Lepisosteus oculatus: one gene and its partner. The protein of the gene in region 1 interacts with the protein of each later gene in a biochemical or structural test. Links are inferred from orthologs where the notes say so. Each region holds a gene or a part of one and is shown in the gene's direction. Other genes may lie near its edges.

Evidence for each region. The genes of interacting proteins can lie anywhere in the genome.
Region 2: the proteins of reps2 (region 1) and epn1a form a complex in vitro, tested with the Homo sapiens proteins (3 studies listed by BioGRID and IntAct, with this or other methods). The link is inferred for Lepisosteus oculatus from reciprocal best matches to the Homo sapiens genes REPS2 and EPN1.

What each region holds. Positions count from the first base shown.
Region 1 is NC_090710.1:20,782,949-20,790,550, reverse strand, and holds the start of reps2 (ralBP1-associated Eps domain-containing protein 2), read left to right. Parts: upstream 1-4,600; 5' UTR 4,601-4,765; intron 4,766-5,624; exon of another isoform or gene 5,625-5,714; 5' UTR 5,715-5,798; coding exon 5,799-5,978; intron 5,979-7,602. Other genes in the region: cltrn (collectrin), read right to left, coding at 86-152. UniProt on the Homo sapiens protein: Involved in ligand-dependent receptor mediated endocytosis of the EGF and insulin receptors as part of the Ral signaling pathway. By controlling growth factor receptors endocytosis may regulate cell survival.
Region 2 is NC_090718.1:1,393,781-1,401,640, forward strand, and holds the start of epn1a (epsin-1), read left to right. Parts: upstream 1-4,849; 5' UTR 4,850-5,157; intron 5,158-7,280; 5' UTR 7,281-7,422; intron 7,423-7,530; 5' UTR 7,531-7,563; coding exon 7,564-7,632; intron 7,633-7,860. UniProt on the Homo sapiens protein: Binds to membranes enriched in phosphatidylinositol 4,5-bisphosphate (PtdIns(4,5)P2). Modifies membrane curvature and facilitates the formation of clathrin-coated invaginations. Regulates receptor-mediated endocytosis.

The sequences.
Region 1 (7,602 bases):
CTGCTGGTTCGCAAAAGAACATGATATCACCAAAAATGTCAATTGTAATGTGTTTCCTTTTAGAAGATGATACAGATTTACTTACTGGGTTCACACGCAGCCACTGCAAGAGCTGGCATTAAGATCAACAAAACCAAGAGTCCCGCTAGCATCCTTCCCAAGTGTGAAAAGAAGAGAGCAAAATATCCAAGGCAATGTTAAGTTCAGTGTGGCCAAGGATTAGAACAGTGTGGGATCGAAAATATAAAAGGGGAGGTTTAGAAAGGGTTTAATTATTAACCCAGGCTCATACAACCCTGACTGAGACATGGCAACCTCTGAATATGTGCAAACAGGTTTCTGATGTGCTCATTTTCCCTAGAAGGGCGTGTTTAATTAGATTTGAAAAACGTGCATTTATAGAAAGCAAAAAAGGATATGTTTGCCTGTGCAGAAGCAAGGGCTGATAAGATTGACTGGGATAGACAGATTATCTGGTAAACACACAAGTTGATGTAATCTGTTTTTATTCAGAACAATATGATACCCTGAAGATATTGGAGTTTCCAGCATATTTTGCAGCCTATGTGCCCCTAACACGAAGGCTTTACTTTTATCTTGTTGATTGTAACAAAGTCACTCAAAATACATGTAGGCATATTGTGTTGAATACTGAGAATTGATTCCACTAATACAGAAAAAAACAAAAGGACTGCCCATCAGGTGATCTGTTGATCCCTACTTCTTCCACACTTTGGTAAATTGATCTTGTGTTCTGCTTCCTCATCAAGCATGTAAAGTGTATAATCCTTTTACACCGACCTTAAATTTATTTATTTTAAACAAATACTGTATATTTTCTGTGTTTTCTGCCAGTATCATGCATCAACTGATTAAACTTTAACTTTTCTGTAACCTTGGGACCGTGCTATAACTGTCAAACCTGTTTCATGTAATGAGAACAGAATTTAAATCACATTCCATTTCTCTTGTCATGTGTTTTTCTGCATACCTAGAAAGAAGAGGCAATCTTAACTAACTAAACTAGCCTGAAAATCAGTGTCCTGTGGTACTATTAATTCCTTACCAGGACTGGATATTAACTTTTTCTTTTGCTGAGAGTTCATTTCTGCAGCCTCATTTCAGCTTTTATTAAATCTGGCAATCAGTATAAAGGTAACAGTGAAATGAAAGTTTAAAATACAACCTCCTTGTTAGACATATACAGTCACAGACAAATTAAAAGTGATGCAAATAATTAAATGTCATACCCGTCGCTTTTTACCAACCTCCTAAATTATCTAATACACATTATATCCTTCATGCATGTAGTAAGTGCGTGTTTTATTCTGTTTACCAGTTCCAAAGTAAAAAATGGAAACAGACATACCAATATACAACTATAGTAGCCTGTACTGTTTATTATAAAATGAATCCATATAAATATGTACAGCACTACAATAATTTCAATTTTTTTTTTTTGCTATGTGTTCCTTGTCTTATTCTACTTTTTTAAAGTTACAAAACTTATTAGAATCCAACATTTACACAAAAAGGATTAAAAGAAATGGGAGCTATCTTTCTTAACAGCAATGCCCCCTTATCCTAAAGAATACATTAAGATTTTTTTTTTAATTGGACGACCCAAATCAAATGTTTGATGCTTAATTTTGTTCCTGGTGCACCATATTTCAATAAGACAAATCAGGTTTCTATGACATCAAATTGCAAGATGTCTGGGGGTTTACTGGACATTTTGGCTAGACTGAGATATTTCATCAAGCAAGCACATGACAGGTATTTCTCAGAAAGACTATTTTTTGTGGACTCAATCTTTAATAATAATAATTATCATAATGTAAGATAAATTACTTGCATGATATGCCTTCTTTTGCTGGTTTGTAATACTTTGAGTACGTATTGCAGTAAACATTGTATAGTGAAATGTAAATGAGATTGTTATTGGAGTATGGTAGGGGCCATAATTAATAAACCATAATTGAATTATAAAGAACAATAATTTAATTGTAATCAAATGAAATAAGGAAGCACAAGACATTACTTCCTGTAAGGACATTAGAGGCAAGAAGCTAGAGGAGTTTAATCAGAAGATAATTCGGTTAATTTAGCAAATTAATTACTTTTTATCATAGTTTTTGTGTCTTTCCTGTAGGAATTAGATTGTATAACAGTCAACATACACAATTAGTTTAACATTGGTATGATTTAGAGATGGAGATAGAGTACTCTTTTAGTCAGTCACTAAGTTCCCTCGATGTTTAAGACAAAACATTGAGAAGTAAGTGCAAGAGTTTCTTTTGCACCAAGCTACTGTTTATTTTACAATGCATCACAGTTTTTATTAGAACTATTGCATTAGAACTAATGACATATATTGATCTCAAAGCTAATGTTACGTCAGGTCTATGTTATGGACATCATCGCCTAACGAATGACATGTTTTTTTTTATTAGGCTTCCTTAAATGTATGTACTGTATAATATGTCTATGGGAGAACAGATGCCCTTACTTGGAACAGATTCTAATGCTTTTGCAATTGTAACTAAAGCAATATTCTTTCTAAATCAACATTTTATTATTTATTCCTAAAAAGTAATTCAAGAAAACAAAGATCTACAAAGATCTGCTGAACTACTGACATGCTGACTGGAGTCCCAAAGCTTTCTTATATATTTTTTTTGAACGCTTAATAAATTGTCCCTTTCTATTTTCAGCACTGAACCGACTTAATTTCTCTCAGAGTCTGGCTCCTCTTGCAATGTATTTTTTCTTCAACCTCCTGAGCCACCGAGAACCCCAAACTGACTATTTCTTTGCTCAATAATACAGCTTTGTGAGGCAGCTCATTTACTGGCAGTAATTCATCACCTAGCACTCGTTCCGTCAAAATGGCGGTATAACGCACTCCGCTTAATGAGGAGTATTTAATGTATTCAATTAATCAAATCACACAGCAATACCACAGTCAAGATTTCACTGCAGCAAAAAGTCCTTACAACATATTAAGAATAATCTACAGTACCAGTGTTTTCTGTTTGTGATAAAAATGCTAACATTCTTACAAGTCATTAAAAGCAGTACATGGGTGTTACAAAAAAGTTTAAAAAATTGAAGTTTTAACACGTTTAAGAGTTACACTAGTCTGACACTCCTAAAACAAAGTATTTGGCAGTATTTTAAATGGCTTTTCAAGATTTTAGTAAAGGTTACACAACTTGAATTATTTTTATATTTTGTAACTTCAAGAAATTGTTTAACGTTTGCTTTCAGATCTCCACTGTGTTTTCTAACTGCTGTCCCTTTTCTCGGATAAAATACTGGTCCTAATAAAAGTCTGTGATATGGGAAGATTTTTGTTATGCTGGCAGAAAGTTAAGTTAAAATAACATGCATTTCAAAATGATGAATTGTATATCTAAAGCTCACGACGCCCCCTACAGTTATTTTATTACTGTTCTCTGAAATTAAAGATTTCCAGATGATTGTTCATTACTTAATCTTTTATACATACCGCTCAACCCCGTATTATTTCCAATAGACAGCATTCATTATGTAATGCTTCGGGGCTCACATGGGCACCCTTGCCACTGGTGCATTAGGTCAGCCCCCCACCGTCGGGGACTCAAACCCAGGCCTCTGGCATCACTCAACAGGGACCCAGCCTCTTGACCCAAAGAGAAATCTCCCTTTGGCTTAAGAGGCTGGGTCCCTGTTGAGTGATGCTAGAGGCCTGGGTTTGAGTCCCTGACAGTGGGGGGCTGACCTGATGTGGCAGTGGTGAGGGGTGCCCATGTGAACCCTGAAGTGTTATAGTTACTTTTTTTGATCCAGTAAAAGCAAAAACAAAACTTACAAACATGAAATGCATTAGGTAGATAACAAGGTTGCAATTAAAAGCCATCTGGGCCCATGTTAATCTGTTAATCTGGTAAAATATACATGGGCTTTTTACTAATTTAATTCAAACTTGTGATGTTTAAAAAACATGTTTATTCCATTGGTCTGTTTGTTATTTCTTAGAAATTTCTCTTTTGTAAAGTTTTTTTTTTAACCTGAACTCTGAAAAGTACATTACACTATAGTGAATGAAATATATTGTAACGCATACGGCCGACATTACAAGTTGTGCGAGCCGGCTTCCCAGCACGGTGACGTCACCGCCCTTCCCTGTGAATAGCAGGGACCACAGCTGGCGGGCTGAAGGGAGATTTCCCTTTAGCTCAACTGGCTGGGTCCCTGTTGAGTGCTGCCGGGGGCCCAGGGTCGAGTCCCTAGGAGTGGGGGGGCTGACCTGAGGCGGCAGCGGCGAGGGAGCATACCCACGTGAACCTAAGAGCGCTACAATGTGCTGCAATAAATATATCCGTCTTCACGGATGTGTATTTTAATTGATGCATTTCTGTCTTGGTATACCGCGGGTTTGCACATCGTTACTCTTTTACCTGTCATTCAAAAAACATGCAAACCTCAAGGGTAGGCCAGCTGTCACCATTGCAAAGCAGCGTGAATAAATTAATTTACTTGTCTAAAAACACTTTACAGCAGACAGCCTTTCAACAATACAGACTATTAAAGCTTGCGTTTGTTTTACTACAGTAGTTGTACTCGAGGAAGTGTTTTTTTTTTAACCCAGACGTATTTGCTGCAATAGCCGTTTTTCCTGTTATCCAACATTGTAACATACTGTACTGTAATGCAAGCCGGATCACATGCTTCTTTCAGCTTTTGACCTAAAGTGGACATTTGTTTTAGGCAGCTGCTGGAGGTAAGATAAACATTAATTAAAATGTACTAGTGATTTATGTTTCAACTGGTTACTCATAGATGAACTACAGCTATTATTTTTTTGTAGTGTAAGAGTATAATTCCTATTACTAATCAAGCAACCACAATATCTGCCAGGGGTTGTAATAAATCAAGTCCTGAATTTATTCTGTGCTCTCAAGATGACAGAACATTTGAGTTAAATTCGGGAAGTTTTGTGAAACATGGTTAGATAATATTACACATAGAAAAATAATTACACATCCCTACAGGATGGATGATGTTCGCCACGTTATCTCGCTTTCTATAACACTATAGTTTTATGTGTTCGTCTTAATACGATATAAACACAGCACGTAAGGAACATACGGTGATTTAAGGTTAGCAACAGGGTTAATGAGATCGTGTCGTACTGCACTTCAGGCAAAATTCTCAAGATTCCAATTGTCTGATCTGCAATAATCCACTGCAACAGTGAGCGACTTTTACATCTGCTTATTCAGCTTGCTATCATTCTATATTACATGTATCTTTTTTAATTCACGAAGATAATTGTGGGCTTTAAATCCCTAAACTACTCCAGATTAACTGTTTATCGAACTGTCTACACCAGTTTCACCTGAAAGTACAGACCTTAAATACAGTGTATATACTGTACATACACGTTTTACGCCTATTTGGCAACGACAGAAAAAAACTCAGCGATGCAATCGTAACTTCATTGATAAGAGTCACTGCCGCTTCAATTATCGGATACTGACCAGCTACAAGATTGCTTTCCGAGTTTGCAAGCTGACGTCAAACTCGGGATTCTTTGCTAATGGCGCCACCTTGCGTCTTGATGTTGTACTTCGCCACACTGCGCTCAGTGTAAGGAAATGTAAACTCTGCTACTGCAGATACGTGTTCTTTTTATTTTATTTTTGTATGTTTTTTCCCCACTGTTTTAGACCAGACGCGACGCTCTGGGGATCGGGGCCTGTTTATCTTTGAGCTGGTGAAGCTCCGAAACTGTCTTCTTGAATGTGTCAGGAATGGATCAGGGACCTGGAACGGCGACGGGAGGGAGTTTTATTGCCTTGAGTGAAAATGAACAAAGATATTACTCGGGTCTGCACAGTTTGTGCCAAGCTGACAGTTCAGGGAAACTAGCAGCGAGTAAAGTGATAGAGCTGTTCAGAGCATCCCACCTACCTAGCGAGACTCTTCATCAGGTAAGTGTCGGCTGTTTGATTTTATTATTAAGATGGCCGTGCTATTTTGTTGCTCTTATTACTTTGACCATCTCGGTTAAATCGGTGTATAAATATTGTTAATTTCCGTTTGCTAGTTTTGAGCAGAAGCACGGATCTCGAGTAGCTAAGCTTTCGCTGTAAGCATTTCAGGTGGTACACAGGAAACAAGACTAATGTTTATTTTCAGCTAAGCTGGTATAGTTAGGAGAATCAATTCGCTCTCCTTCAAGGCAGGAGTGGATGTGTTTGTTCGTTTTATTTTTGCTTTATTTTTTTCGTTGTCTATGCAAAAAGATGTTAATTTGCTACTTCTTTTCCGCTTTCTCCACGTTGCAAGATGAGCTGTGACATAACCTTTATTTAACTTTCAGCGTCGCTATAAGACGGCAGCTGAATTTAAAAAATAGAATTTACCAGAGAGTGTGATGATCGTATTAATACTGTATATAACACAATTCTAAAGAGAAAGATGTGGGGGTTAGTTTACCGTTGTCCTGTCAGCTGATAACATTGAAAACAGCTTGCAAAACCACCTGTACTGCACTTGATACCAGAGGGTTAGCTCATCAAATTAGTCAGTCATTAGTAGACTTTCCGGTACCATCGCTGCGTTTGACTTCATTAAAAATAATACTTAATAAATAAAAACGTGTACAGGGGCTCGATAAGTAAGCTTATGGGAAAATAAATAATGAACGATCACTTCAACTAGCTACATTTTTCAGAGGACCTCTGTTATTTGTTGTTTGTAATGGTATGCAAAGAATGTATTCGAAGCCATTAAGCTTGTATTCTAAATGCTACCTAAAAATAAATTAGGATCGGTAAGATAAACCCTCCGGAACGCTCAAAACCTGCCTGACAGCAGGTGCGCGAAAGTCATATTTTATAGGTCAGAATGGTTTCTATGGAAGCACCTATTCTATTCCCCGTTCCTGTGCAGATCTCGAGAAAGCAAAATCCACAGGTGTGCAAAGTGTAGGCTCGCTTCACTGTAACTTATCCTAGGTTATTATCTACTTTATAGTTTAAGGTAAACGAGCACACACATTCCATGTAGACTGTATCATAATTAGATGTTTCACTTAGTACCACGTGTTAATGCTGGAGACAGAAAGACGGCTCATTCCCAAGATGAGATAATTTACAAATTATATGTTATAATGTCTGTATATACTCTTTCTGACTTATTTCATATTGTAAACATAACACATCTTCGCCCACCCACATGTCTAGAAGACAGTTTTACACCGTAATGCGCACGGTCAAATGTAGGCTATCACAGCAATCTGAAATGCACGTTTTGACTTTAAATGTTCTTTGCTCATGCAGTGGTGCATTTGAATTAATAGGGGATGCGTCCACTGCTGTTGATGGTTTTAAGCTAATAGTTTTAATTCTATTGTACTTGCAATATACTTTGCAAAGGAAGAAAAACTTGATGTGTGATATACAGTATTTGTAAAGAGGAGTGGAGGCCTCTCTTTTTGTGAAATGGCTGCTCTGCACAAATATTCAGTATTAGTCTGAGTCTGAGGTACAGGTTTTGTAGGCCTTCATATGCACATTGGTCCAACAAGACACCACCACCACTGCACAGGAG
Region 2 (7,860 bases), on another chromosome or scaffold:
GATCTGTGTCTGTATTTATTTCTGTTTTTTCCCAATTCCCCCGTCTACACGCCTAACTCTCTCCCCGATCAGACTGTCCCTCTCTCTGTCCCTGCTCTGTCTGAGACTGTCTGTCCCTGTCCTTTCTCTGAGAATCTATGTCCCTCTTCTTTCTCTGAGACTCACTGTCCCTGCTCAGTCTGAGACTCTCTGTCCCTGCTCTGTCTCTGAGACTCTCTGTCCCTGCTCTGTCTGAGACTCTCTGTCCCTGCTCAGTCTGAGACTCTCTGTCCCTGCTCTGTCTGAGACTCTCTGTCCCTGCTCTGTCTGAGACTCTCTGTCCCTGCTCAGTCTGAGACTCTCTGTCCCTGCTCAGTCTGAGACTCTCTGTCCCTGCTCTGTCTCTGAGACTCTCTGTCCCTGCTCTGTCTCTGAGACTCTCTGTCCCTGCTCAGTCTGAGACTCTCTGTCCCTGCTCTGTCTCTGAGACTCTCTGTCCCTGCTCAGTCTGAGACTCTCTATCCCTGCTCTGTCTCTGAGACTCTCTGTCCCTGCTCAGTCTGAGACTCTCTGTCCCTGCTCTGTCTGAGACTCTCTGTCCCTGCCCTGTCTCCTGGACTCTGTCTCTCTCTCTCTGCAGCTGTGAGGCTGTGCTCTCTCCCTCTGGCTCTGCAGTCTCTCTGTCAGCAGCCGCTGGCTGTGAGCTGTCGCGTGCCCCAGCCTCTCTCTCCTCGGCTCGCCGGAGATATTGTCCGGCTCTGTCCCTCCTGCCGGAGCCCCTGTCAGCCAGCCTGAGGGATTGAGCTGTGTTTCAATCAGCAGGAGCAGGGAATCTTAATTAGATAACAACATGTGCTAATTAACATGCTTGGGTGACACGAGTGTGTGTCATATTTCACCCTCTCCACCACACGCCCCCCTCTCTCTCCGCTGGCTCTCGGAGTGCTGTTTGTGTGTGATAATGCCCACTCTGACTCAAAGTGCCTCTCTCTCCCTGCCCCCCCGATCTCTCCCTGCCCCCCCGATCTCTCTCTCTCTGCCCCCCCGATCTCTCGCTCTCTGCACCCCCGATCTCTCCCTGCCCCCTGATCTCTCTCTCTCCGCCCCCCCTAATCTTTCTCCCTGTCCCCCTGATCCTTCTCTCTCTGCCCCCTGATCTCTCTCCCTGTCCCCCTGATCTCTCTCCCTGTCCCCCCGATCCCTCAGACCCTGGCCCCCGATCTCTCTCTCTCTGCCCCCCCTAATCTTTCTCCCTGCCCCCCTGATCTCTCTCTCTCTGCCCCCCGATCTCTATCCCTGCCCCCTGATCCTTCTCTCTCTGCCCCCCCAATCTCTCCCTGCCCCCCTGATCTCTCAGCCCCCCGATCTCTCTCCCTGTCCCCCCGATCTCTCTCCCTGGCCCCCCGATCTCTCTCCCTGGCCCCCCGATCTCTCTCCCTGCCCCCCTCGCCCCCCCGATCTTTCAGCACAGCGTTACTCGTTGACAGCCGTAACAGCTGGGGGCCTCTGCCAGCCATCGCCATGCCAACACAACACATGAGGTCATCTCTCTCCGACATCGCCATGCCAACACAACACATGAGGTCATCTGCCCCCGACATCGCCATGCCAACACAACACACGAGGTCCTCTCAGCGCCTCCGCGGCCCCGCTAGCGCTCCCCGGAGGAGCAGGCGAGGCAGCAGGCGCTTGGCGGGAATGACTGCTGGGACAGACGCTCCGCTTGCACAGCGAGGCTCCGGCTGGGACCGGGAACCTCTTCATGGACAGAAAGGCTCCAGCTGGACGCTCTGCTTCTCGCTCTCGGCAGCCAGCCTGCAGCCTGGAGACACATCCCATCAGTCAGCAGGATCGCCGCAGTGATGAGAAGGTTTCAGACTCCAGGTGTGTGTGTGTATACAGTGTGTCCAGTAAGAGTCTGGACTCCAGGTGTGTGTGTGTGTATACAGTGTGTCCAGTAAGAGTCTGGACTCCAGGTGTGTGTGTGTATACAGTGTGTCCAGTAAGAGTCTGGACTCCAGGTGTGTGTGTGTGTACAGTGTGTCCAGTAAGAGTCTGGACTCCAGGTGTGTGTGTGTGTGTATACAGTGTGTCCAGTAAGAGTCTGGACTCCAGGTGTGTGTGTGTGTATACAGTGTGTCCAGTAAGAGTCCGGACTCCAGGTGTGTGTGTGTGTATACAGTGTGTCCAGTAAGAGTCTGGACTCCAGGTGTGTGTGTGTGAGTATACAGTGTGTCCAGTAAGAGTCCGGACTCCAGGTGTGTGTGTGTGTATACAGTGTGTCCAGTAAGAGTCTGGACTCCAGGTGTGTGTGTGTGTGTATACAGTGTGTCCAGTAAGAGTCTGGACTCCAGGTGTGTGTGTGTGTATATACAGTGTGTCCAGTAAGAGTCTGGACTCCAGGTGTGTGTGTGTATACAGTGTGTCCAGTAAGAGTCTGGACTCCAGGTGTGTGTGTGTGTGTATACAGTGTGTCCAGTAAGAGTCTGGACTCCAGGTGTGTGTGTGTGTATATACAGTGTGTCCAGTAAGAGTCTGGACTCCAGGTGTGTGTGTGTGTATACAGTGTGTCCAGTAAGAGTCCGGACTCCAGGTGTGTGTGTGTGTATACAGTGTGTCCAGTAAGAGTCTGGACTCCAGGTGTGTGTGTGTGAGTATACAGTGTGTCCAGTAAGAGTCCGGACTCCAGGTGTGTGTGTGTGTATACAGTGTGTCCAGTAAGAGTCTGGACTCCAGGTGTGTGTGGGTGTGTATACAGTGTGTCCAGTAAGAGTCTGGACTCCAGGTGTGTTTGTGTGTATACAGTGTGTCCAGTAAGAGTCTGGACTCCAGGTGTGTGTGTGTATACAGTGTGTCCAGTAAGAGTCTGGACTCCAGGTGTGTGTGTATATACAGTGTGTCCAGTAAGAGTCTGGACTCCAGGTGTGTGTGTGTATACAGTGTGTCCAATAAGAGTCTGGACTCCAGGTGTGTGTGTGTATACAGTGTGTCCAGTAAGAGTCTGGACTACAGGTGTGTGTGTGTATACAGTGTGTCCAATAAGAGTCTGGACTCCAGGTGTGTGTGTGTATACAGTGTGTCCAGTAAGAGTCTGGACTCCAGGTGTGTGTGTATACAGTGTGTCCAGTAAGAGTCTGGACTCCAGGTGTGTGTGTGTATATACAGTGTGTCCAGTAAGAGTCTGGACTCCAGGTGTGTGTGTGTATACAGTGTGTCCAGTAAGAGTCTGGACTCCTGGTGTGTGTGTATACAGTGTGTCCAGTAAGAGACTGGACTCCAGGTGTGTGTGTATACAGTGTGTTCAGTGAGAGTCTGGACTCCAGGTGTGTGTGTGTGTATACAGTGTGTCCAGTAAGAGTCTGGATTCCAGGTGTGTGTGTGTGTATACAGTGTGTCCAGTAAGAGTCTGGACTCCTGGTGTGTGTGTGTGTATACAGTGTGTCCAGTAAGAGTCTGGACTCCAGGTGTGTGTGTGTATACAGTGTGTCCAGTAAGAGTCTGGACTCCAGGTGTGTGTGTGTATACAGTGTGTCCAGTAAGAGTCTGGACTCCAGGTGTGTGTGTGTGTATATATACAGTGTGTCCAGTAAGAGTCTGGACTCCAGGTGTGTGTGTGTGTGTATACAGTGTGTCCAGTAAGAGTCTGGACTCCAGGCGTGTGTGTGTGTATACAGTGTGTCCAGTAAGAGTCTGGACTCCAGGTGTGTGTGTGTGTGTATACAGTGTGTCCAGTAAGAGTCTGGACTCCAGGTGTGTGTTTATACAGTGTGTCCAGTTAGAGTCTGGACTCCAGGTGTGTGTGTGTGTATACAGTGTGTCCAGTAAGAGTCTGGACTCCAGGTGTGTGTTTATACAGTGTGTCCAGTAAGAGTCTGGACTCCAGGTGTGTGTGTGTGTATACAGTGTGTTCAGTAAGACTCTGGGCTCCAGGTGTGTTTATACAGTGCCTCTAGTGGTGGCTTTTGTGAATAACAGTTGCACTTAAAACAGACCATCTTTTACTTTGTAACTCTTCTGTGTATCAGTTTTGTAAATGAAAAATTCTCCATAAGAAGGCATATTGTCTTTATTGTTAAACTCATGGTTTCCCTCAAACAGTTAGCTGTTTTAAAACAAGTAAACTCTCTCCATGTCAATGTTTTCTGATTCATGGTTGTGTTCGGTATGGCAACAGTCTATAATCTAATAGTATAATCTAGTAGTGTATTGTAAGTAATACATGAGCCCTGCAGACTGTTCCATAGATAGGAATTGGAAGTATATGGTTGTATGTTACTTGAACATCCTTGAATTGTACCTGATAAACATTGCATTATTATAAACACTACCCAGTTTATGCTCCACCTGTATCAGGCAGGGTGTATACAGTGTGTCCAATAAGTGCAGGGTGTAGCCTGCTGTACATCGACCCTCTCGTTATCAGTTAAATACTTCAGCATACTTCAGTTTACAGCACACGAGTGCAATGTCAATAATATGCAGCATAAGAGCTAGCTGATCTCTACACTACAGTATAAGAGCTCACTGATCTCTACACTACACAGTATAAGAGCTAACTTACAGTATAAGAGCCAGCTAATGTTTATACTAAACAGTATACGAGATCCCTGATATCTTAACGATTCAGTTTTAGAGCCAGCCGATGTCAGGATGATGCAGTATAAGGGCTACAGGATCTCTGCATTATACAGCACAAGAGCTACAAGTTGTCTATATTATTCAATGTAAGAGCTAGCTCATGTGCGTCCTGTGCAGTCTAAGAGCAAGCTGGTGTGTACGATCTACAGCAGAGGAGCTCTTAGATGGCAGAAGCATGTCTGCCCTACACGGTGATCTACGCGTCCACCCCTCCCTGGGCAGCCGGCCCCGCCCACCCGGGGGGCACGTGAGGCAGGGGGCGGAAGCGGAAGCGGAAGTGGCGCCATCTTGCCGTTCCCAGCGAAGTGGGGCTTGGAAGGGTCAGTTCCGATCCGAGCCGCGATAAAAGCAGAGCGGCGGCGCTTGCCCGGGGTGTCAGCGATCAGGCCGCACGGCAGCGGGGACCGCTGGGCTCCGTCACGCCCGAGGGGAGAGGAGTGGATGTCGCGTCCCGCCCGTCCCGCCGCCCCCCTGTGGATCTTCTCGCTCCTGACGCGCGGCTCCATGGCGCAGCGCGGCTGAGGCGCCCGGCGGGGACAGGTAAGCGGGCGCGGGGGTGTCGGGGGGCGCCCTGCTCCGTCACCGTGCGGGAGAGGGGGGCAGAGACTCGGGGAGGTGGGGGCGGCAATGGGCGCGCGTGCGTGTGCGTGCCTCGGCGCGAGGGAGCCGCTGGGCGCGTGCACGTGTCAGGGCGAGAGACTCTCCGGTCATGGGGCTTTTGGGAAATCGGTCCATCCCCGCCCCGATTCGGGAAGCAGTGTTTTGGGGTGCCGGGGCTTCCCAGCAGAGACGCCTGCAGGGTCACAGGGGCGTCCTGTCTGATCGTGCAGGATCGGCACACAGATCCGGGATTGTAACAACACCGTCACACCTGGAGCGGATCAGACTGCTGCACACTGGGACTGTAACAACACTGTCACACCTGGAGTGGATCAGACTGTTACACACTGGGACTGTAACAACACCGTCACACCTGGAGCGGATCAGACTGCTGCACACTGGGACTGTAACAACACTGTCACACCTGGAGCGGATCAGACTGCTGCACACTGGGACTGTAACAACACTAACACCTGGAGCGGATCAGACTGCTGCGCACTGGGACTGAAACAACACCGCCACACCTGGAGCGGATCAGACTGCTACACACTGGGACTGTAACAACACCGTCACACCTGGAGCGGATCAGACTGCTACACACTGGGACTGAAACAACACCGGGACACCTGGAGCGGATCAGACTGCTGCGCACTGGGACTGTAACAACACCGGGACACCTGGAGCGGATCAGACTGCTGCACACTGGGACTGTAACAACACCGTCACACCTGGAGCGGATCAGACTGCTGCACACTGGGACTGTAACAACACCGCCACACCTGGAGCGGATCAGACTGCTGCACACTGGGACTGTAACAACACCGTCACACCTGGAGCGGATCAGACTGCTGCGCACTGGGACTGAAACAACACTAACACCTGGAGCGGATCAGACTGCTGCGCACTGGGACTGAAACAACACCGCCACACCTGGAGCGGATCAGACTGCTGCGCACTGGGACTGTAACAACACCGCCACACCTGGAGCGGATCAGACTGCTGCGCACTGGGACTGTAACAACACCGCCACACCTGGAGCGGATCAGACTGCTGCGCACTGGGACTGTAACAACACCGTCACACCTGGAGCGGATGAGACTGCTGCCCACTGGGACTGTAACAACACCGTCACACCTGGAGCGGATGAGACTGCTGCCCACTGGGACTGTAACAACACCGTCACACCTGGAGCGGATCAGACTGCTGCCCACTGGGACTGTAACAACACCGTCACACTTGGAGCGGATCAGACTGGTGCACACTGGGACTGTAACAACACCGTCACACTTGGAGCGGATCAGACTGCTGCCCACTGGGACTGTAACAACACCGTCACACCTGGAGCGGATCAGACTGCTGCCCACTGGGACTGTAACAACACCGTCACACCTGGAGCGGATCAGACTGGTGCCCACTGGGACTGTAACAACACCGTCACACCTGGAGCGGATCAGACTGGTGCACACTGGGACTGTAACAACACCGTCACACCTGGAGCGGATCAGACTGCTGCGCACTGGGACTGTAACAACACCGTCACACTTGGAGCGGATCAGACTGCTGCGCACTGGGACTGGAACAACACCGTCACACCTGGAGCGGATCAGACTGCTGCGCACTGGGACTGGAACAACACCGTCACACCTGGAGCGGATCAGACTGCTGCGCACTGGGACTGGAACAACACCGTCACACCTGGAGCGGATCAGACTGCTGCGCACTGGGATTGGAACAACACCGTCACACCTGGAGCGGATCAGACTGCTGCGCACTGGGACTGGAACAACACTGCAACACCTGGAGCGGATCAGACTGCTGCCCACTGGGACTGTAGGGCTGTGAAGCTGGAGAGGATCAGACTGCGGTGCAGTGGGTGGGTCGGTGTGGGTCTGGACGCTGTGCACCTCGCACTCTTGACCTGCTCTGCCCACAGTGTGAGGCTCAGGGCTCTAACTGTCACTGGGGCCTAGGCTGGCAGTGCCGGGGGGTGGGAACTACATTTCCCAGAATTTTGTAGTCCCAAACGATGGTGCGGCGCTGAATGCGGTTCCCTTCCCCTGCAGGGTTTGGTGACTTCAATTGCTTGGTTCCGGGACCAATGTCGTCGAGGCGAGAGGCCGGCAGACAGGGACACAGCGATCCGTAAACGCGTGGAGAGAGAGAGAGAGAGCGAGCGAGACAGACTGCGAGCTTCGACTTTCACAGGTGAGGATCCCCCTGACGGGAGCGGAGGAGAGAGGGAATTCACCCCCTGCGTGTCCCTGTGTGTGTGTGTGTGTCCAGGTCTCTGTCTCAGCCTGCGTCTCTCTTTAGACAGAGGCAAGGACAGACGGACAGGTGGTTGCCATGTCGACCTCATCGCTACGGCGACAAGTGAAAAACATTGTGCACAACTACTCTGAGGCCGAGATCAAGGTGAGTCTGTCTCCGTGGCGACGGTGTGGGTGGGTCAGGGGTGGGCAAAGGGGTGTGTTAGTCAGTGGCTGGGCGGTGGTGTGCCCTGGCGGTCAGGGTCTCAGCGGGGGTTCGGGTCAGCGGGTGGGTCAGTCAAGGGCTCAGTGGTTGGATCGTTCAGGGGTCAGTTGGTCAGTCGGGGTCTCAGCAGGGGGGCCAGTCAGGGGGGCAGCGGACAGGAGCTGACGT